Arabidopsis thaliana: one gene and its partners. The protein of the gene in region 1 interacts with the protein of each later gene in a pairwise test. Each region holds a gene or a part of one and is shown on either strand. Other genes may lie near its edges.

Region 1 (8,021 bases):
CTAATAGACAATTTGTATCAAACCTTCACTACAACACCTCTTTGGTTGTGCAAAGTACTATCTGTTTATCGTTTAATGAAAGTTTGAAGTTGTCAAGGAAAAAAAAACAGATCCATATTTTGAATGATTCTGAGCGGATAAACGAATAAAAACTGATATAATGAATATTTTTCCCAAATTTAGTTTGAAAATGAGCCATACCCTGGTTACAAATCTCATGTGAGTGACGATGTAGAAAGTGACATCAAAGATAGTACTTTGTTTGCGTCCACATACGGTAAAAAAAAAAAAAAAAAAAAAAAAAAACTGATTTACAAAGAAGCTTGAACCGATATAGAATTAGAATATAAATATCATACACAACATGACATCCTAAAATGTATAAAGAAAATAAAACTAAACAAAGTTGAAACATATCCTTTTCAAGTATGGATATCTCGATCTCTCACCCATCTTCACAGACGACAGTTATTTTTGTACTTTCAATATCCTTTACATGTCTTGGCAAATTGGTTGTCCATCTCTGTTTGACTGTCCGGGATTTTTGGGACGAATTAATCTGGAAAAAAACATTGACAGATCTATTAAAGTAGTTTAACAAAAAAAAAGATAGATCTATTAGAGTAAAAAATGGCTTTTGGAATTAAAATCTCTATATTTCAGGCCTATCATGTTGCTCCACATGGGACAACCATAAGACATCCCAAGAAAGACTCGCAACAACATCAACCTTATCTTGTTTTTTTTCATCTTTTATTTTGTTTTTGTTTTTCAATTTCAGCCACAGATTTACAAGATTAAGACAATTATTGGAGATCCTCAGGATCATATCTCAAATGTTTTGGGACTTCTACAAATTAAAGTCTTCATGTGACTTTTGTTTATTATATATACAAAAAACTCATATGTGATACTTTCAAAAAAACTTTTATTTTCGTCAATATTCTACCTACTCGTAATAAGAATTGGGTTATTGATCAAATTTTTGTCGACCGAATTGATTAAAAATAAATAAATATATATATATATATATATATATATATATATAAACCGGAGATCAAATTAATAGTTCGGATATACTTCCATGGATGCAAAAATAAAGTATCAAACTTCATTTATCATGTAGAATATATATTAAAGGATATGTAAGATACAATCATTTATAATTTGTTTCGGTTTCACACTTAATATAGTTGAGCCGCGTTAATCATTGTTCTCACTTCTCACTGTTTTTTTGTTTCCCCCAAAGAAAACTTCTCACTGATTTACACGTACGCTATGTATAAATCCACGAATTTGTTTTTTTTTTATTTAACTATACCAATTATTGACACGTGCTTAAATTCGGTAAAAGTCGCATACTTTAAAATATTTTTCTTTCCTTTTACATTTTAAAATATTTGAGGCGAAGTTTTCACACTTATATATTATGGTGACATGTTGGCTTGTATAGTAATTGTATGGTTCTATACAGATGCTGAGCACATGTCAAAAACAATATAAATACAAGTACAAAATTTTGATAGAAGCAATTCGAAAGATAGCAATACAAATAAAAATGCTACTAGATAAAAGTAGGACAGTTTAAAGAAATAAAAATTTATCAAAAATTTTGATATAGAGTAAGTATCAATAATTTGGGAAAAAAAAATCTAGCTCCACTTCACCACCTTTGTATAGCCACTTCACTTTGTACAACCCAATATTAGGTATTTGTACTACTCTTTTAATATAAACTATGCAATGCTTCTATTTGCACACTTTTGTATAATTCCTATGATTGGTTACATACAAGGCCTTACAATCATTACCACTACTAGTTTATATATGTAACTAATCAAAACCATAATCATTATATTTGATTGTCTATTTGTTTTGTTTGGCACAACTATTTACTAACAAATTAAACCAAATCTTATTATATTTAATCTCCATGTGGTCGAAAAATTAAATATAGTTTTTTATATTATCAATTGTGATGAGACCCCTCTATCACATTTTTCTTGATTTGTTTGTAGCTATTGTAGAAGAAGAAAACAACTACTTAAAAAAAAAAAAAAAAAAAAACTTTCAGAAGTGATAATCTTTGTCCGAAAGAGATTGATAGATGACTTTGATAATGAGAAACAAATACACAAAAAAAAGCATTTACAAAAAGTACAAAAACGAGAATCATATATATATATATATATATATATATACTGAAAAGAAAAAGAGAATTACATATTTAATCATACAAAAAGAAATTAAAAACAAGAAAAAGTGAATGATTGTTGGGATTATTTCTCGTTAATATGAAAATGTCTACCATGAAATGATATGTGAACTAACGACTTTAATTCACTAAAGAAGAGGGTATCCCACATCAATGATAAGTTTGGCATCAACAATCATGCACAATTGCACATCACGCCTCTGAGTAGGCGCATGAGTGTGTGAATGAGGAAATATGAAAAGGATGAGAGAGCAAAAAGATTTCACACAGATCACAGATGGAATTCGAATCATTCGACCAAGAAATATGTGAGGAATTCGAATCACAGGTCTTACGCAGTCAACGGACCATCCTTTTTTCTATATTAATTTCTAACTTCTAACTATAACATTCAAAAAGTCCAAAATATGTGAGGAATGATTAATGTGAACACTGGTAGGTTTATTTACTGTTTTTCCATTTATTTACATTGACCTAGTGTAATGGTATCATACTATCATCTGCAATCTGTAGTGCCACGTCGCCCCAAAAATAATGATTACCACATCCACATGCTCTTCTACTAATTAACCGTTCCAAAAAATTATCTAGTATCGTCACTAATTAATAGTATAAAGTAAGATTATCATATACGTTTATCAAAAAAAGAGGTGTGAGACTATCATACTTTTATTAATAGCCAGGAAGAGAAAGAAGAAAACGTTCAACGTACTAACACTATTCAGTATCCACACATGTGCGGGAATATATGAATAAATAATAGTATCATTTACCATTTTTTATAACAAGATCATCTTACTTTAGCTCTAACCCCTTTTTGTTTCTAGATTGTCTACGAATATAAAATAAAAATATAGTATTAAAATTTTATACGTGGCTAAACTTACATTTTATTGTATTATATCACGTTAAAGCTAAGTGACTAACGAATTATATATACGATATAATAATAATAATTTGTGGTTAATTTTAAAATTTTGTTAATAAATGTTCTATAAAAATTAATATATATTGATAAATATGAAATTTATTAAAACAAATTTATCAAAAATTTCATGGTTACGTACAAAAAATATATAATCACCAATTCACCATTTTGTTTATATATGTTCTTATTAGATTTTGATATTTTGATAGGTAAAAAATAAATAAATACTGGGGTAATAATTTACGAAAAGTTTTTAAGTGTTAGATAGTACACCTTCCATTTAAAATTAATTGTCGTTTAAAGTTTTTTCACGAGTATAACTAATACGAAACAAAAAAAGTAATAGATACTATCTTTTCTTTTCTTCTTTTACCTCTTTACACATAAATTTTGGCAAGATTTGGGTATTTGGTATGGTAATAGACTAATAGTAGAAATTTGTGCTCGATAAAACTTTCGATATCTAACGGCAGGAATTCGAAGTAAAATCCAACGGCGGAAATATAATAATACCAAAACAGGGGGGGGCTATATAATTGTATAACCCTAATTAGAATAACGCATCCCACTACTCATTCTCTCGAGAGCATCCTACAGAGTAAAACGTGTAGAGAGAGACTCACTTTTTTTTCTGGAGAGAGAGACACACTTTCAAATAAATAATTGAACTTGTTTAAAATTTGTCTTCTCGTGAGGTGGTGAAACGTGGCAATATTAGATTGGTTTTTTAGTTTGGTTGGCTGGAGAAAATGGGGAGGACGACATGGTTCGACGTCGACGGGATGAAGAAAGGAGAGTGGACGGCAGAGGAAGACCAGAAGCTCGGCGCTTACATCAACGAGCATGGCGTTTGTGATTGGCGTTCCCTCCCCAAAAGAGCTGGTATAATATAAACATGTCATTCATAAAAGTGCATTTTAGTTTGTGCTCATATGAAATTGTGTCTTCTTCTACTCTTTTTCATTAGATATGTATTTGGAACAAGGGATTTGTTGAAGTCTAGATAAATTCTAGTTGCTGCCCTATGAAAATATGCGTGTATATATGTAGCAAAACACTTGGGATATTTATATTTATATTCCATAAACATATAGAGAAGTGTATGCATCTATATGTTGTGTTTTTGCAAAACTGTGTTACAACATATTTTCTTCTTCTCACTTTTTTTTTTGTTTTCTTAATAAACTAATTTGGGAACAACGAGTTTACAGAAAGTATAAATTCGAATTGCTGCCTATTAATATATTGCACGTAGGTATGTAGCAACATAGTTGGATTAAGAACATCTAAAAAGCATGTGTTAAGTATATAGAATATTTAACATTGTTTTTGGTTCGTATATATATCTTTAAAATGTTTTAAAATGATTAAGACAATATTGAAGATACTTTCTTTGTACTTTCTTTCCCCTATTTGTTGCTGAAAGTTCTCATTTGTATTATTAGAGGACTATGAGTTAAATCATAAGTGGGTATATTAATATACACACCGAAATTTTCGGGATTGGAAATTTGTTACATATGTAGAGATTCTCTTCTACATGCTGAAGTGAATAGTATAATCCATGTTCTTTGAATTCAAAATCACTGATGATTTTTTTTTCTTATAATGATTTTTGCAACCAAATCAAGAATGAATATTGAAAGTACGTACTTACACATACACCCATGTTTTATAATACTTTTTAGTCCATGATTGATTATAATTTTTGTAGATGCTTATTTCTATTTAGTAGAAACTCATACCAATTCTTTCACAAAAAAAGAAACTCATACCAATTATATCCATATGATACTATAAAAAATGATTTCCATCTTTTAACGGTGCTCAAGAGCGACAGGTGTTCCCTGTGCTTTGTCCATATACATAGTGGTTGGAAAATTCCTTGTTTTTTTAAGACCCAATCTCGAAAAGTTGAAGCTTTTACAACTTCCTTGCTTTCAAATCCTCCAGTGTTAATAAAAAGTTTAATTCTTGGCAGATTCTTTTGTTTGCCACTACAAAAGCACAATTATTTCTTCGAATAATTTATTATGAAAAACAGGTTTGCAGAGATGTGGAAAGAGCTGCAGATTAAGGTGGCTTAACTATCTAAAGCCTGGGATTAGAAGAGGCAAATTCACTCCTCAAGAAGAAGAAGAAATCATCCAACTTCATGCTGTTCTCGGAAACAGGTTAATTATCAAGTTATATATATGTAACATTATATACTTTGGTAGAGAGTCCACATATATACTTCAGTAATGATTAACCACTCTGACGTTAATTTATATGTTAAGTGATCTTTCCACAAAGTTTGGAGATTAATTTGAATTTTTTTATTTGGGATCTTCGGAAACAATATTAATTTATCTTTTTTTTTTTTTTTTTTGATAAAGGACATACTAAATCTTGTTATTCTTGAAAAAATAAAGGTGGGCAGCCATGGCGAAGAAGATGCAGAATCGAACAGACAATGATATCAAGAACCATTGGAACTCTTGTCTCAAGAAAAGACTTTCGAGAAAGGGAATCGACCCTATGACCCACGAGCCCATCATCAAACACCTCACCGTCAATACCACTAACGCAGATTGTGGTAACTCTTCCACCACGACGTCCCCGTCGACGACGGAAAGCTCTCCTTCCTCCGGCTCGTCTCGTCTTCTTAACAAACTCGCCGCAGGTATCTCATCTAGACAACATAGTCTCGATAGGATCAAGTACATCTTGTCGAATTCAATAATCGAAAGCAGTGATCAAGCAAAAGAGGAAGAAGAAAAAGAAGAAGAAGAAGAAGAAAGAGATTCAATGATGGGTCAGAAGATTGACGGTAGTGAAGGAGAAGATATTCAGATTTGGGGCGAGGAGGAAGTTAGGCGTTTAATGGAGATTGATGCAATGGATATGTACGAGATGACTTCGTACGACGCTGTCATGTACGAGAGTAGTCACATACTTGATCATCTCTTTTGACTTAATATAGTGTGACTGTGTGAGTGCATGCATGTTGTTAGCATATGCTAAGATATGTTTTAAAGTTGCAAGTTGCAACAATGAATATTAACGTGGACCATTTTTTGACAAAGAGAAAATGGTTCCCTAAAGAGCAAGTCGTCGTATAGCTTTTTTTTTTTCAAAGGAAAAAAAATTAAAAAAGAGAGAGATCGTCGTTTAACATGTGGGGTTCAGTTAGGACATACAATTGTAATAAGAATTTTCAATAAAATACTGGGAAATATTTAATCAAAATAAAAATATTTTTACGCCAAAATATTTAATAAAAATAAAAATATTTTCCAATATTTCATTGAAAATTCTTATTACAGTTGTATGTCCTAATAAAAATAAGTCTATTTTTAATGCAAGATCACGATTATAGAAGATAGATAAACATTTAAAATGCTTATGGAATATTTAAATATGTATATGATCTATTGAAAAAAAAATGTTAAAAAAAAAATCTGTTACTTTTAATTTTTTAAGTAAAGTGTTAAACATTTCTTTGAAAGCTTTTTGGATTTTATCAACGTAATCATCACTACGAATCAAGGACTCATTAATGGTGCACGTGATTGAAAGTGTGAAAAATAGACAGTATGTCGTCATTAGGGACACGTCTGAACATGAAACTTGGACACGTCTGTACAAAATTAATGCTGCAGGTATTTGCCTATCATCCTGACTTATTTACATTTCTGTGTTTATTTTCTTTTTCCGAACATGAAACTTGGGTATTTAGCCAGAACCGAATGAATTTCTAAAATGTATTTAAATTCAAGCCGAGTTGAGGTTAACTTTAGATCAATTGGTACAATTTCGTTCTATACAATCAAAACCATAACTATGTTTAAGCCCACGCAATTATAAATATTAACATTGATTTAATCTCATGAAATTTTGTTTTTGATGGGTATAACAAAATCTTTTGGTATCAATTGGTACCAAACTACCAATCAATGAGTTTCAATTTTAAAAGTTTGTGTTCATTTTATGTGTTTGTCTCAATTGTTTTCCTTTTTGATGTCCAATTTATTGTCATCTCTGTGTTTCTTTTTACGTAAAAAAAAAAAAAAGGAAATGACAAAAAAATATATTACCAAACACAGAAAATTGAAGGTCCACTAAAACAAAATTGACTCCTCTACTTTTCTTCATGTTTGGGATAATTTTGTTTTTTTAATAATATTTTTAAAAATAGAGAACTGATATTTGGTAAAGAACAAAATGACACTTTGATTCAGAAATTTTTATTGTCTACATTTCTGACCCATCATGCTGCTCCACATGTGACATCTCTTCTCAACTAGTCAATGCAATCAAGGTGACGATATAAAAAAGTAAGAATTTAAGCTCTCTATAGGCTAACAACAACATCAACTTTATCATAATGTTTTTTCAAAATAATTTTTTCCTTTCAATGATTTAGTGTGAGCATATGCTTTCAACTCAAAACTAAATGAAAATTTGTAAAAAAGCGTAAGTTGTTATTAATATATTAGTCTAGACTTCTTTTGATTTTATTTTTAATATATATATATATATATATACTTTTAATTGTGTGAATATGCATGTATTTATAATCTTACTGATATTGTGTGATATACTACTATAACATGTATCCTGAGTTTTATATTCGCCATAGTTTATAATGCTATACTACAATTAGGGGTATCAAAATGGGTCAAAATTCATTGGTCAACTCAATTCAACTCAACCCATAAACCGTAATGAGTTGAAAATTTTGACTCAAATGAGTTGATGAGTCAAATGATTTGATGAGTCAATTGGTTTGATGAATAAAATAAGTTAGGTTGTAATGGTTAATGGTTTCAATGGTTTACCCAATTAACCCATCAAGTTTTGTAAAATTGAATTAAACCAACTAAAATCTCTAAA
Region 2 (6,896 bases), on another chromosome or scaffold:
TGAAGCAACCAACATTCCTTTTTTTTTTTGTGTTCAGACGATCTTGAAGATTCCGGGTTTCACTGACAACGTTGTCACACATATTCTATCTGGACTGGGAGCAGGATTCTTTGCTGTCTGCATCGGCTCTCCTGTCGACGTGGTAAAGTATTTACTCATGACATTGAACCTTGAGTTTATTCACCACGTTTCCTGATTGTCTACTTAAATCTTGTTGTGTGGCAGGTTAAGTCAAGAATGATGGGAGATTCTGGTGCTTACAAGGGCACCATTGACTGCTTCGTCAAAACTCTGAAGAGCGACGTAAGCAACTCTGCTTCTGATACCTCCATTGTTCTAGATATAACCCAGAAAATGTTACAAACTCTTTACGGTTTCCTCTACAGGGTCCTATGGCATTTTACAAGGGTTTCATCCCCAACTTTGGACGCCTTGGCTCATGGAACGTAATCATGTTTTTGACCCTCGAACAGGTAACAACTGATAGAATTTTTATTTTATCGCAATCGCATTCGAATCGGTCACGCAAAGTCTTCTTTCTCATTTTCTAATCCGGGTTCTTAATACTCTAATCCAGGCAAAGAAGTATGTCCGGGAACTCGATGCGTCCAAAAGAAACTGAGACACATAGTTTTAAGCAGAGGGAATAAGAGCAACATTGTTTTCTTCTTCATTTTCGGTGATTGAGAGAGGCCAGAACTTGGTCGAATATTGTTTTCGGAATAGAGATTCAGTTTTCGAGTAAAACTGTGAAATAAAATTTCTGTGGATTGCTCATATATTGGCTGTACCATCCAACATTTATCAAAAATCATACATTTTTCTCCTTTCTTTCCACAAAACCGAGAAAAATCAGAAAAAGAAACTCCTGAAGAAGAAAGAGGTGACAGCATCTCAGCTCAGTTTCTTATTTTCCGGATTAGCCCATATCTCGAGTCTAAGGTAAAGCTCTCTAGTTTTGTTGCAGATAAACTCAATAGAGCCAACAATGTAATCCTCATATCTCTCATAGAAAGCTGGAACCGTCATAACCACCAAAACGCCTGCCAAATTAACCAAGAACAACCACAAAATGAATATCCAGCTCAAAAGCATTCCAAGTCTATAGGAGTTTTAGAATATCTACTTACTGGTGTGGCAAAGTGTCTGAAAATCCATGAGACTTCCGATCAATGAGAGAAGAAACAGTGACACTGCTACTTTGGTATACAACTCTGAGTCTCTTGCCATTGCAATGTCATGCGAAACTTGGAGTAGCTTGTTCACATGAATACGTAACCATATCGAAGCTTCTTCCGCCATCGCTTCACTTATTTGAAACTCCGGTAACGGCGGTGATGGCCTGAAGAGCCAAGAAATTGAATCAGAAATGAAGTAATATTAGTTACAAGTGAATATTAATATACCTGTTGAGAATGGAAGCAGATTTGGACCAGAGGAAGAGAATAGAGAGCAAGAGAAGAAGAACACTTGAAATAAGAGTAAAGATAGTGTAAGCAAATGCCTCAAACACCATCCATGAAGCTATTGTCACTGTAACTATACCAACACTCACATTCTTCTTCCTCCACAGCATCACATCTGCAACTGCAGATTCATTTCATAACAAGAAAAAAAAAAGGCTATAGAGGTGAGAGATCACCTAGCTTTTATAAGTTTTGGATTTGGTAAAGAAATGTATTCACTAACCAATGCCTCCTCCCAGAATCTCATGTATTGTCCTGTCTCTGTTGAACAACTTGTCCGAAGAAGAACTCATTTGAGAAGAAAGATCAGAGCAAACTTGGATTCAGATTTCCTCAGATGATCAGATCCCAAAAGTAACCCAGATATGTATATCTTTCTCTGAATGTCAGAAACAGATCATTATGTGAAAGGAAATCCTAAAGGCTCGAATCGAAGGAACCTGATGTATCACAAAGAAAGTAAAAATAAAAAGTGAAGAAGAGACTAAAGTTGGGTCATCACCATCATCATCAAAGCCATCAACTTTGAATATACAAATAATTAATTAATAATTCAAAGGCTATGCTCTGTTTAGGGAAAAAGAAGGTGTTTGTTGTCCTCTCGATGTTTTTATTTCCAGCCTAAAAGTGTTATCCTTCTTGTTTTTTTCAAACTGTAAAAGTTCGCCAGATTGTACTTAGAGATGAATCAAATTTTACACCATCCTTTTATATTTTCCATAGAACACATTTAAATTGGTCATTCATCTACTTTTAGTCAACTGAAGTAATTTATGTACCCTTTTCAGATGTAGTTTCCTATGAATTCGAAAAGGTCGAATCTTTATCCTCAATTTAAGATTGTCAGAAGAATTTAATATGGTAAAAAAATCAAACAAAAACAATTCCACAAACCATTTATTATCCTCTGTTTTCTATCTTTCGATGTAAGCTTTTTTCTTTCTCTGTTCTGTATGTAAAATTGTTGATAACTCTTGATAACAAACCAAAACAAAGAAACAAAAGTGAATATCCCACCACCTCCATCAATAACACTTGTTCTCTATTTTCTCTGCTACTTTTGTTTCTCAGTTTCCTTTTCAGAAGTGCCCACAGCTCCGAGATTGGCCTCAGCAGCAGAAGCATCAAGCAAACTTGCTGCAATTGCTGCCTTCAAGTCATCATCTTCCATCTCTGAAAAAGCCTGCACTTCCTCACGTGACAATGCCTGATTCCGTCTTTGTTGATTAACATTGTCATTACTTCTCTTGTTTCTGGCAGAAGAACCTGAGCTCGTGTTCTTTCTTATTCTCTCTGCGTCTTCAGGAGAAAGCCACTGCCCGAAACTATTGGAAGCTTCAGAAGAAGACGACATGGGACATTCCTGAGGGAAGTTTCCTTTCACTATGAAGATACTCCATCCTGCGCCTTTGAGAGAGTCTAAGAACGCAGAAAGGTAGAACTTCGATAAATGTTGCGGGGCAGCAAGGAGACTATCAAAGTTATACCATTCGCCATTCACTTTCCTTATACAAAACCAATGGTCATGCAAGTGGCAGATAAAGGCGCTTTCAAGCTCAGGGTCTATCTGCGCAGGCTCTGCATCTGGACAATTGAGTGGAATTACTTGTAGATCCCACACTTCCAAAGCTTTTTGCAAGACCTGTCAATCAAACAGAAGCATTCTCAGTTAAACGAATAAGCAAAGACTAGATCAACTTTGCAAGATTAAAATGCTACACCAATCGCATAAACCCTCTGTTTGCAGTGTTTTATCCGCATCCAACTTCAACGTAATCCGTTAAAATAGCTTTAATTTTAGATATCTAAAAATGTGATGTAAAACACCATACTATACCCTTGAATCTCAATACATAAATCTTGCAATCAAACCTGACTTTTGTAGCAACCTAATCAAATATCAAGTTATCAACCAACTCGGTTTAAAGCTATCCAAGAAACAAAAGATGATAATTGAATATACAGAACCTCACTAATAACTAACATATCCAAAACAATTGAGTCCCAAGATAAAAAAAATCATCTCAAGTTCCTCCATTTATCAGCATAGCAATGTTCGCACAATGAAACTAGCCTTCAACAAATGAGTTTTAACCCAAAGTAAAGATCGCAAATTCACACCATTACTGATCTCAATTCTTCTTGAATCTATCTAAAAACGAATCCAACCATTCAAAAGTTTATCACTTCAGCATAAACACAGCAATCAAAAGCACCATAAAATCGAAACCCTAATTTTGCCTAAACTTCCAACAACACAATAACAAAAAGGCTTTACAATATATAAATGTTGAATGCAACTCAAGATTTATCAATTTCATCGCGAATTCGTACCTGGATACTAAAATCGCCGCCGAGGGAAACATTGTGCGACTCTTCAGCTAAGAAATCGCCGGGAGCAAAACCTCCAACGGCAGCACCTTCAAGCATAACCTGACGCTCCTTCCCGTCTAGATCGGCGGCGACGGCAGCCAAATCGAATTCAGAGAAGAAAGGCCCTTGCAACACCGTGTTGACGCAGTGTACGGCGCACAGATTTGACTCTTGAACCTCGTGATACAACATTCCTCCGTTGCTTGTTCGTTCCATCGCCGATTAAGATTTGAATATCAAAATTCACTGATTTTGCGATGAATATATTATTATTGCTCCGATGCAAAAGTCTCAAAGAGATTGTGAAGCGAAGATGAAGATGAAGATGAAGAAAGAAGAAGAAGAAGCAAGTTAACAGATTATTTAAATAAGAAAATGTAAGGGACGGAAAAGTAAATATACAATAAAAGGATGCCACGTGTAATAACCGACTTTCTAGGCCTTTTTCTTATTTTGCAGACGAGCCCGATACTGTTTTGAGATAGGCCCATTATCTCAAAATTGACAGACCAACTTAGGTTCCTTGCTTCCCAAGATTTCTGGTGATCTCTTTGATGGCGACTTCTGATAATGTGATGGGTATGATCGGGTTGGTTTATGCCTGCATTTCGTAATAACCACGTCTGAGAGCACTAATACAGAGTTAGGAATTATACTACTGAGAGCACTAGCAGCAATGTCCGTGAACAGTTTAAGAATTTAGATAAGTTAGTGACAGATTTAAAGAATGAGATTCTGTATAAGCTTTTACGCCCTCTGATTCTTTCATCAAGGTAATACATCTACTACTTCTACCTGTTTGTTCTAAACTCTTATTATGGTCTAAATTTTTCCTTCTTAGCCATATAATTGCAAGGCTAGAGTTGATTATACTTTGTTAAATGATTAGGTTTGGTTTCATTTCCAGATAGTCCTGCTGGCTATTTCCGCTTCCGCTCATTTAGTGACCAAACCTGGCTTCATCGCACCACCACATTCGTAAAATGACAAAAAAACTTTCTCTTTTTCTATGTGCATATAGTTGAGCTCAATAAAAAGCTTGTTTCTGACTATATATATATAAACCATGGGTTTTACTGAACAAATAAACCCCAGAATCAAAATCTGTTTTTGACGCTTGCTTGTCTCAATCTTGTTAGACAACCTCCAAGAAGCCAAGGGGGCTTCCTTATGCATCCTGATCTTGAGCATTTTCCAAACAGTTCAGATATATAGTCAAAAGTAAAGACATCTTCAAAGAAACAGAAGAAAATACTTGATCTCTTTGTTTAATGTCTAGTAGTAAGTTTACATATGTATTGACAATAGGATCCTATGTGCTTTGCTTTTTGTTAAGATTTCCCATGCTGTTGTTTAGTTTTTGATTTTATTTCCCAGCTTATTGCTTATAACTTCCAATGTATATAATAAGTTTCTTAAGAGCAATGGCAAAATATAGGAGGACATATTATCAGACGGTCAAAAAGCTTTAAGCAAAAAGCTCATAAAATAGTTACCAATAGCCTTTTACATATAAGTGGAAGACTGGAAGTATTCAGAAATACATAAGCAAAACCAAAACAAACCTAACACACCAACAACAACTAGACCACATACAAAAAACATTTACAAGCAAAACACTTTTCAAACAAATACTGTTAACTCCAAATATCTTCCACACCAGTTTCTTGATCAATGTGCTCGACCAACAGCTTTCTTGTATTTGTAGCGTTTTGAAATCCAGAGGTACACTAAGAAGTTGAGGAAACTGAGAGTTGCCAACAAGTAGAAAAAGTAATCAAGATGGCCTCGGTTCAAGTTATCCGGTATCCAACCCGGTTTACCGTTCTTCTTCGTTATCTTCATCACAACCGTCACAAGAACTGTGCTCAAATAGTTCCCCAACGCAACCGTGGTCAACGACAAAGCAGAGCAGAGACTTCTCATGGCATCAGGAGCCTGATCATAGAAAAACTCAAGCTGACCTATAAAGGTGAAAACTTCTGCACAACCGATAAGTAAATACTGCGGTATCTGCCAGAATATCGACATATGGATCTGTTTTTGGTCATATGCATTGTGAGTTTTGACATAATCAAGCCTGACAACCTCCAAGACTCCTGCAGTGATCATGGCAAAGATGGAGACCACAAGACCTATACCCATACGTTGAAGCTGAGTGAAGCCTCGTTCATTGCGTGTGAACTTTCTTGCCAGCGGGATAATGAACTGGTCATAGACAGGAGTCCAGAAGAGTACACTGACAGTGTCGAAAAGTGAGAGTGAAGCTGATGGGATTTCAAAGTTTTTTCCCATGTGTTGGTCCATTGTGTTTCCTTGTAACACAAACATTGTGCTCATTTGGCTGTACACTGTGGCGAAGACTATTCCTGTGGCCCAAACTGGAAGAAGTGTGATTATTGACTTAAGTTCTTCAACTTGAGTAACAGAACATAGTCTCCATGGATTGACTTCCCCGTCTTTGATGCTATCAGATTGACTCTCAACCGCTGCCTTGTCAAAAAACCTGAGATGTTTTCAAAACTTTAGATTTGAAAACAGAGTATTTTTGAAGTTAGGATAAAGATTCAAACTTTAGTTTCTTACTTTAAGTTATCTGTGTGCACAAGTTTCCGGCTACCTTTGATGTTACTCTCATCATCTGCAGTTTCAAAGAGCAGAGACTTGTCCTCTGGAACCTTAACACTTATCTTCCGAAAAGCCGCTACTATAACCTGAAAGATCCTAGTAAGTGGACTCCCTCCAGGTCTCTGAAGTCTGTAAAAACGGCTTCCGAAGAAGAAAAAGCAAACCGCGATAACCATCGCGACTGTTGGAACACCGAAACCCCATCCCCAACCAACATTCATTTGTATCCAGACGAGAACAGTTGCAGCAATGAGAGCTCCAACATTAATGGAGAAGTAAAACCAGTTGAAGAAAGAACTTTTCTTGATCTTCTCATTCTCATCATTCTCATCAAACTGATCAGCTCCAAAGGACGAAACACACGGCTTTATACCGCCAGTTCCAAGAGCAATCATATAAAGCGCGACAAAGAAAACAGCAGTCTGACTA
Region 3 (7,560 bases), on another chromosome or scaffold:
AATAAAAATGATTCATGATCGAGTTTGATACCCGTCTCAGCATATAGAATCATGTGCACCTGTCCTCACCAGAATATTTATGTTCATATCTATCGATGATTTCATATATATTTGAGAAACATTATAATTACATATTAATTCTAGCTAGTCCAAGAAACTACCCATCGTATATGTATGCACAAATATTTAGTCCGTAGGGTTGACAGTTGCTACTTCTCAACTTGGGATAGCAATGTCCTCTTATGTAAATTCCGCTGAAAAAGAAAAACACAAGATTCGGCTTAAAGAGAAAGAAACCAAAAGAACAAGAGTGAACTCTTTCAACACTGTTTCCACTTTTGTTTTCTTCTTTTTGGTCTGTTCTTCTTTGTGTTTGGAACGTGTGCTTCTTAATAATCTTCTTCTTTCCTAAATTCACTATTCTTTCTTATATATTTTTAAAATGAATTAACGTAATTATTTTTATAAAGTAATGTAGGATAGTGACCCTGACACATGTTGTTGACAAAAAGAAGAAGAAGGTAATGTATGATACCTCTCGCTGATTAAAACTTAGCTCACAACAACAAAATTACTACCATTGAATAGATTCATTTCACTCAAAACAATTTTGAACCAACAAAGAATAGATATGTCTATGTAGATGAAGTGAACGTGAATACTGTATTTGGTATTACATGCAACTACGTGACGCATGGCATAGTTTTTTTTTTTTTTTATAATAAAAAGTTAATGGTTCCATTAATCCATTAAGATTTAAATTGCAACTTGCAAAGATAAAATCATAAAATATAAAATATATATTAAAATAATCTTTGCATATAATATTAGTCATGGATCATGTTATGTCAAAGACAGAGCTGGAATCCCACTCGAAGTCACATGCATATGAATCTTTCTCACTTTTATATCCTTACTTTCTTAATAAATTTGTACCAACCCATCATATATATATAAAATTGGACATATAAGTTGAGAAAAATCATGATTTTTAATCTCACTCAATTGGTTAGAGGAGAGTTTTGTTCGGGAAGTAAAAGAGAGTGGTTATGCTTTTTTGAACCATTTACATATATTGTAAACTGTGATCAATCCACATACATCTAACAATGTTACGGCCGAATGCAAAGAACTTTATGATTTTTATTAAATTAAAGCAACAACAAATTTTCGCACTATACACCAATGCTCTACAAACCCAAAGAAAACAAAATGCTCCATTAATTTAAATTGAAATGAGTAGCAATAACATAATTCCAAAGAGAAGAATTGTGTCTTGATCTTCTCCTGATGATATGATGATGATGATTATGATCATTTGTCTTGATGCGTGCTGATGACTTTTTTTTGAGCTTTAGAATCATGAATCAGTTGAACTGGTGGTGGTGGTGGTTGTGGTTTGGGTCAGACCATGCCCAGTAACCAGCCGGCGTCGTTTCATCAATGCCATTAAACATGTTACAAAGGCTTTCTTCTTGAACTATTTCATGATTCTGATGATGATCATCATCATGTGCAGATGATCGAATCGATGAAGGGAATAGGTCTTTGATCGTGTTCACATGTGTTGTAATGGTCTCTCTAGGCATCTCCAGATTGATGTCTGAACTATTCTCTGTGCTTCCGTTGTTGCTCCATGAAGCTTCTGCTTCTCTCTTTACTATGTTTCCTTCATTACATTCTTTGTTCTTTAAAGCCATTACCTTTAACCATCATCACACACAATTCAAATGTTAAGTTTTAGAAATTCAGATATTAAAAATTATCATTTCTATATATCATTAAAATAAACATAATTATATATAATTTAAATTAACAAAATATTTTTAAAATGACTAATAACTTAAAATAGATAAACTGTAAGACTATATATGTAAATTATATATTTACATATACTTAGCTTAAGTAATTTTTGAAAATCTTGTAACTATTACATTTCAATAAGTAGTAAAATCATTTAAAACACACAAAAATGATATGATATAAAAATCAGTATTCTTGTCAAATTTGGTTAGCGCACACATGCCATTACTTGATAGTCATATGGGAATGTATTAATTAAATTGTAAATATTGATCAAGAATCCTTTTTATTAATAAACAAAACACCTACTGTCTTTTGACAAACATCTTATAGTGTTGGATCATGTGCCTAACAATAATCTATTGCATTTCGTATTAAACGACTTTAATACACACAAGATACATACATATATATATATATATACACTGATATATATACACATATATATATACTACATAAATAGTACCAATCCAAGCCAATAATCAGAAAAATATTTGTAGTCCTAGATTTATTTTACGTTGGTTATTACTATTAGTGCAAAACCAAAAATAAAAAAACCAAAGAAAAAAACAAACACAATCAAATTAGAAATGAAAGTTGAATTAAACACCTTATTTACTATATAAACACACATATATACTTACTTATATAGATACATACCTCAGCAAGGAGTTTCTTGTTATAGGCAAGTAGAGAAGCATTGTCGGATTTAAGAGACTCAAACTGTTTCTTGAGTGAATCATAATCTCTCTCGAGCTGTCTAGTCTTCCACCTAGCTCTCCTGTTTTGAAACCAAATCGCGATCTGTCTTGGTTGCATCCCTAATGCTTTAGCTAGTTGTATCTTCCTCTCTGGCTCCAGCTTGTTACCAAGCTCAAAGCTCTTCTCTAATGCCTTAACTTGCTCTAATTGCAGCCTCTTCTTCTTCTCTCCCAGCATAGTATGTGCCCCATCGTCTGATAGATTCTCCTCATCCAAGGTTTGATTATGATCTTCTTGCACGTTCATTAAAGACATAGATCTGTTCATCATGTAGTTTCCTCCTCCTATATACACCAACAGAATTCATGACTCAAATCTATTTATGTGGAGAAATAGTGAGAGAAAGAGAGAGTATAGTACCATTGAAGAGATGAGGAGGACAAGAAGGGAGCTGATCTTGACTGTTGTCTTCATGAAGTTGTTGGAACATAAAACCATGTTGAGGAAACGCCATCTCTAATCTCAATCCAGCTTCTGTTGTTGGATCAAACACATACATGTATGTATTCCACCAAAAACCTATCAGTGATTAATGGATTGTGAAATCAGTATAGTGATGATCAAATATACTTTGTTGTTTGCAGATTTGGAAATCACTATCAAATGAGTTAGGTGTTTCTTGTGGATCTCATCAACCTCTCATATAAGAGAAAGAGAGAGAAAGAATGAGGAAAGGATCAAGCTAGGGAGGTTTCTAGGACCCATCCTTAATATTTTAAAAGCTTTAGGCTTATTATTATATTTCATATATATTCTCCAGTTCATGTAATAAAGTTATTTTATAGTTTCTGCCTCAAATATTTTCGATCATGTAACGTTACTAATCATATCTTCATGATGGTTTTTTTTTTCTTTTTCTTTTCACAACACCTTTTATGCTTTAAAACCTCACATATCATTTATTTATGTTTTCCAAGGAAGCCCAAAGACTTTTTACATCAATTGCTTCCTCCTCCACCGATATGGGCCGCTGCTTTTGCAGCCCGGCCCAAAGCATCTGAGAACCATAAAGCCCCATTAGCAAAGTAACGACTGTTGACCACACTAGTCGCTGCAGCTGCAGCCACTTTCCCTGTAATGGTGGCTGCGGCTACAGCAGCTGTGCCCGTGACAAGAACCGCGGATTTAGTGAAATCCGAGAAATGATACTTCTCGTCCGCTGATCTCACGAGTTCCATACTCGACTGAATGTTCTGTGTGAGGCCAAGGTAATGGCTGATCTCTGCCAATTTGGTCGCTACCAAGCTTGAAAATCTCTGAGACTCATCCAAAGCTTTGGCTTTACCAATCGCGTCTTTGCTTAAAACGTAGCCTTTAGCTAACATCGTCTGCACAACTTGTTGAGCCACGGTTATGGCCTCTCCAGGCGATGAAGCAAACGCGTCTGAACGAGTCACCTACAAAGAAACATTTTCGAGAATCTTTGGCTTATAACCTAAAGTAACCTAGTAAGTATTGTTTTTAATGTTACCGTAACACTATAGTCTTCTTCTTGTCTGAGATTGTTAGATTCATGTAAATAGACACCGTAGACCGATATCCAAACGGTTTGATCAACGATCGTAGCTCCCTGAAGATCAACATTAAAATCAATGCCAAGAAGATCATACTGGAAATTTCTAGCTAATTAAGGGACTTACGCTAAGTAACACAGCCATATCCAGAGCATACGCATCTCTGAAGGTTACATAAGCCGTTAATGCATCCCCTTGGCACCTGAAATCCATGGAGACATGAAACAAAATATAAACAGATTCAAGAATGATTAATAATTTACTGAACAATGAACGTTGTTGTTACCCGGTGATTTCAACGAGCTCGACGATACCACAGTGAGAGAAGAACCTATGAACATCTTTCTCAGTGGCTTGAGGAGACAAGTTGGTGACTTGAGCAACGTAACCACAAGGATACATTATATTGTTCTGTTTTCTCACACGAACCTAGATACCTAAATCAAAGAACAAACATAAACAAGATTCTTGAATCACATTCCGTGAACCGTTGAGCGATTTTCTAGAGATTTATACAGCAAGAAATCTACAAAGCTACGATTACTATAATGATTCAAATAAAAAAAATAAAAAAGGTGTCCAGGCCAAATAGTTAGCGGAGAGGGAAGAAAGAAGAAGTAAGAACCCTAGATTATAATTGAATGAGATAAGAGATGAAAGTAACAGTAACAAAGATAATCAATGAGATATGTATCAACCAACCACACAATCGGAAACTTCGAGAAGCAGGGCACGAAAAAAAACTGATAGTGTATGTTCTGTTTTAGATTACCCGATTAAGGCACAATAGAACAGGACGTCACAGGATTGAAGCCAAGTATCGAAAGAGACGGAGAGAAAAGAAGACAAGATTCGTGTGATTGTGAGAGAGAAAGAGGATTCTTCAAATTTAAACAAAAAAAGAAAGAAGAGGAATGTTAACATTTAAACCAAAAAAGAAAGAAGAGGAATGTTCACATAATTTTTTTTCTTTTGTCGGCTCGATCGATATCGATGTTGTGGTCGACGATACGCGTCAAACGTAAGCTCTAGCGATGCGCGTGTTATTATTGTTTCCACGAGTCTTTTGGGCACTTTTTACTTAGGCTTTTTAAAGCCCAAATATCTGTTTTCAAGCCCAAGTAATTAGTGAGGACATTTTCGTCAATTTTTCATCGGAACGCAATTTAGCGGTTAACGCCTTAACCGTCGCTCAGAAAAAAAAAAAAAAAAAAGTTATCATAAACTTTGGCGATATGAATTTACACGGCGTCTCGGGCCATCACGAGCCTAATTCCGAACCTCCAATTCCGACAGGTTCGTCGAGTCCGAAGCTGAAGATTAGTCCCAAATTGAATCGGTGGTCTAGGGGCCGAGCTTTAAGATCTGGTGTTAAGCTTGACCGTCCAATTCCCCGTTCCGATAACTCACCTCGCCGTCAAGTAACGGAAGCCCAACCGACCGATGAGGCTGATAAGAAGACGACGGCGATCGACGTGGAGGTAACGGCGGGAAAGTCTATATATTTGGTTTCCGACGGAACTGGGTGGACGGCAGAGCATTCCGTTAACGCCGCTTTGGGACAATTCGAAGATTTTTCGTTGAATCGTGGCTCTTCTGTGAATACCCATCTCTTCTCCTGGGTAAATGAAAATCAAATCTTCTTACTTTCAGGAAAAAATATGTCCTTTCTTAGAATTCTCTGTGAATGTTGCTAGTAGAATTGCTCATAGGATAGATAAAATTGGATCATTACATGGAAACTGATTATATCTTAGTGAATGCTAGTTGCAATTAGTGATCATCTGAGCAAGAAAAAACTTGACTTTTAAACCGAAAGTGTTAGGTTTTGAGAATTGTCATTACTTTGGTTTTGGGTTGGGGATTGATCAGGTTGAGGATGAGGAGAGGCTTATCGAGATTATTAAGCAAGCGGCAAAGGAAGGGGCAATGTGTTTCTACACTTTAGCAAATCCTTCTATGGCAAAATCCGCAAAGCAAGCTTGTGATCAGTTGGGTGTGCTTTCGGTTGATATTCTAGGACCAATCATCGAAGGGATTGCGTCTCACTTAGGTGTTTCTCCGTCAGGTCTTACACGTGGAGCACCTGGTAGGGTCAAGACTCTCAATGATGCATATTTCAAAAGGATTGAAGCCATTGAGTTTACCATTAAGCAAGATGATGGGACTTTACCTGAGAACTTAAGCAAGGCTGATATAGTTCTTGTCGGGGTTTCCCGGACAGGGAAGACGCCCTTGTCCACTTACATTGCTCAAAAAGGGTACAAAGTTGCTAATGTGCCGTTTGTGATGGGCGTGGAACCACCCAGGACGCTCTTTCAGGTTGAACCGAGAAAAGTTTTTGGTTTGAAGATCCAGCTCGTTGTACTGCAAGCGATTAGAAGAACAAGGGTTAAAACGCTAGGCGTAGATACAGAGGCAGAGAACAATTACTCGGGGATTGATCTTGTTCGGAAAGAACTAGATTTCGCGTCAAGGATCTATGAGCGAAACCCCGGATGGGCAGTGATAGGTAAACAAAACTTAAACACCATTCTCATTTGCTACTCAAAATGCTGTTTTTTTCTTTCCTTTTAATGCTAGTAAGAAAAAAAGTTAACAAGTAGGCAGAGTATTCTCATGTGTTATTCTTGGGGTTGTGGCGCTTGCAGATGTGACGAATAAGGCGATTGAAGAAACCGCGGCTGTGATTCTGCGGCTGTACCATGACGGTAGAGACACTAGTACTACGGTACCGCGTATCTCAAAACGCTACTAAGCACACTCCTTTGACCGTAGAGAGGATGAAACACCAGTGTCGATAAAGTATCAAGTGAATAAAGTAATATATGTCTATAATAATAAGTTGAATAACAAATCCAACCGAGGCATGATGAATCATATGTTTTAGTCAACGAATGTAAGAGGATGAAGGATAACGAAAACTAATAATTGTGGCTACTCTGAATTCTTTTATTACTAGTCTATAAAACAAAAGAATATCTGTCATTAGCATTTAGTTGCAACGTTGCAATTTGGGTGTGTTTAGCAAGTTCAAGAAAAGTCATCCAAAACTTAATGTCATTTTAGTTAATCTATTTTGACTCTTTCTATTCGTTTATGAATGAATATTTCGGTAATTACCAAAAAATCTTCTGATTATCCAAAGTAGATGATCAGAGATTTGTGTCCATCTTCGATTTATATAACTAATTAGTGATATTTTCTTCCTGTAAGTAAACGATGAACCTGGAAACATGCAAGGTTTTTTCGACTGTCAATTTATGTGGATGATTATTGCTATTCAATCTGTTCATCCACATGATTAATAAGATGCTAATTGGTAACACATGGCGTAGTTTAGAAAAGGTTAAAACGTTGCGGTCAAATGATTGACGTAATTGGAAGAACATGCACGAAACATTACAGGAAACCTATAATGCATGGATGCATGTGGGATCAAATAATTGTTATCGATAACGTCCAAGTATCAATTGATATG

Evidence for each region.
Region 2: the proteins of MYB47 (region 1) and AT3G54130 interact in a two-hybrid assay, tested with the Arabidopsis thaliana proteins (one large-scale study listed by BioGRID).
Region 3: the proteins of MYB47 (region 1) and HB20 interact in a two-hybrid assay, tested with the Arabidopsis thaliana proteins (one large-scale study listed by BioGRID).

The regions. Positions count from the first base shown.
Region 1 is NC_003070.9:6,446,889-6,454,909, forward strand, and holds MYB47 (myb domain protein 47), read left to right. Parts: upstream 1-3,696; 5' UTR 3,697-3,892; coding exon 3,893-4,025; intron 4,026-5,187; coding exon 5,188-5,317; intron 5,318-5,557; coding exon 5,558-6,098; 3' UTR 6,099-6,375; downstream 6,376-8,021.
Region 2 is NC_003074.8:20,040,375-20,047,270, forward strand, and holds AT3G54130 (Josephin family protein), read right to left. Parts: upstream 4,207-6,896; 5' UTR 4,056-4,206; coding exon 3,801-4,055; intron 3,109-3,800; coding exon 2,521-3,108; 3' UTR 2,267-2,520; downstream 1-2,266. Other genes in the region: PUMP1 (plant uncoupling mitochondrial protein 1), read left to right, coding at 38-142, 226-303, 387-473, 578-622; AT3G54120 (Reticulon family protein), read right to left, coding at 895-1,043, 1,131-1,342, 1,407-1,587, 1,690-1,759; PTR1 (peptide transporter 1), read right to left, coding at 5,511-6,345, 6,426-6,896. UniProt on the Arabidopsis thaliana protein: Interacts with key regulators of transcription and represses transcription. Acts as a histone-binding protein that regulates transcription. Acts as a deubiquitinating enzyme.
Region 3 is NC_003074.8:69,103-76,662, reverse strand, and holds HB20 (homeobox protein 20), read right to left. Parts: upstream 3,357-7,560; 5' UTR 3,065-3,356; coding exon 2,926-3,064; intron 2,850-2,925; coding exon 2,464-2,849; intron 1,704-2,463; coding exon 1,368-1,703; 3' UTR 1,124-1,367; downstream 1-1,123. Other genes in the region: AT3G01210 (RNA-binding (RRM/RBD/RNP motifs) family protein), read right to left, coding at 3,504-3,962, 4,037-4,135, 4,206-4,281, 4,366-4,481; RP2 (PPDK regulatory protein 2), read left to right, coding at 5,315-5,701, 5,952-6,591, 6,731-6,837. UniProt on the Arabidopsis thaliana protein: Probable transcription factor.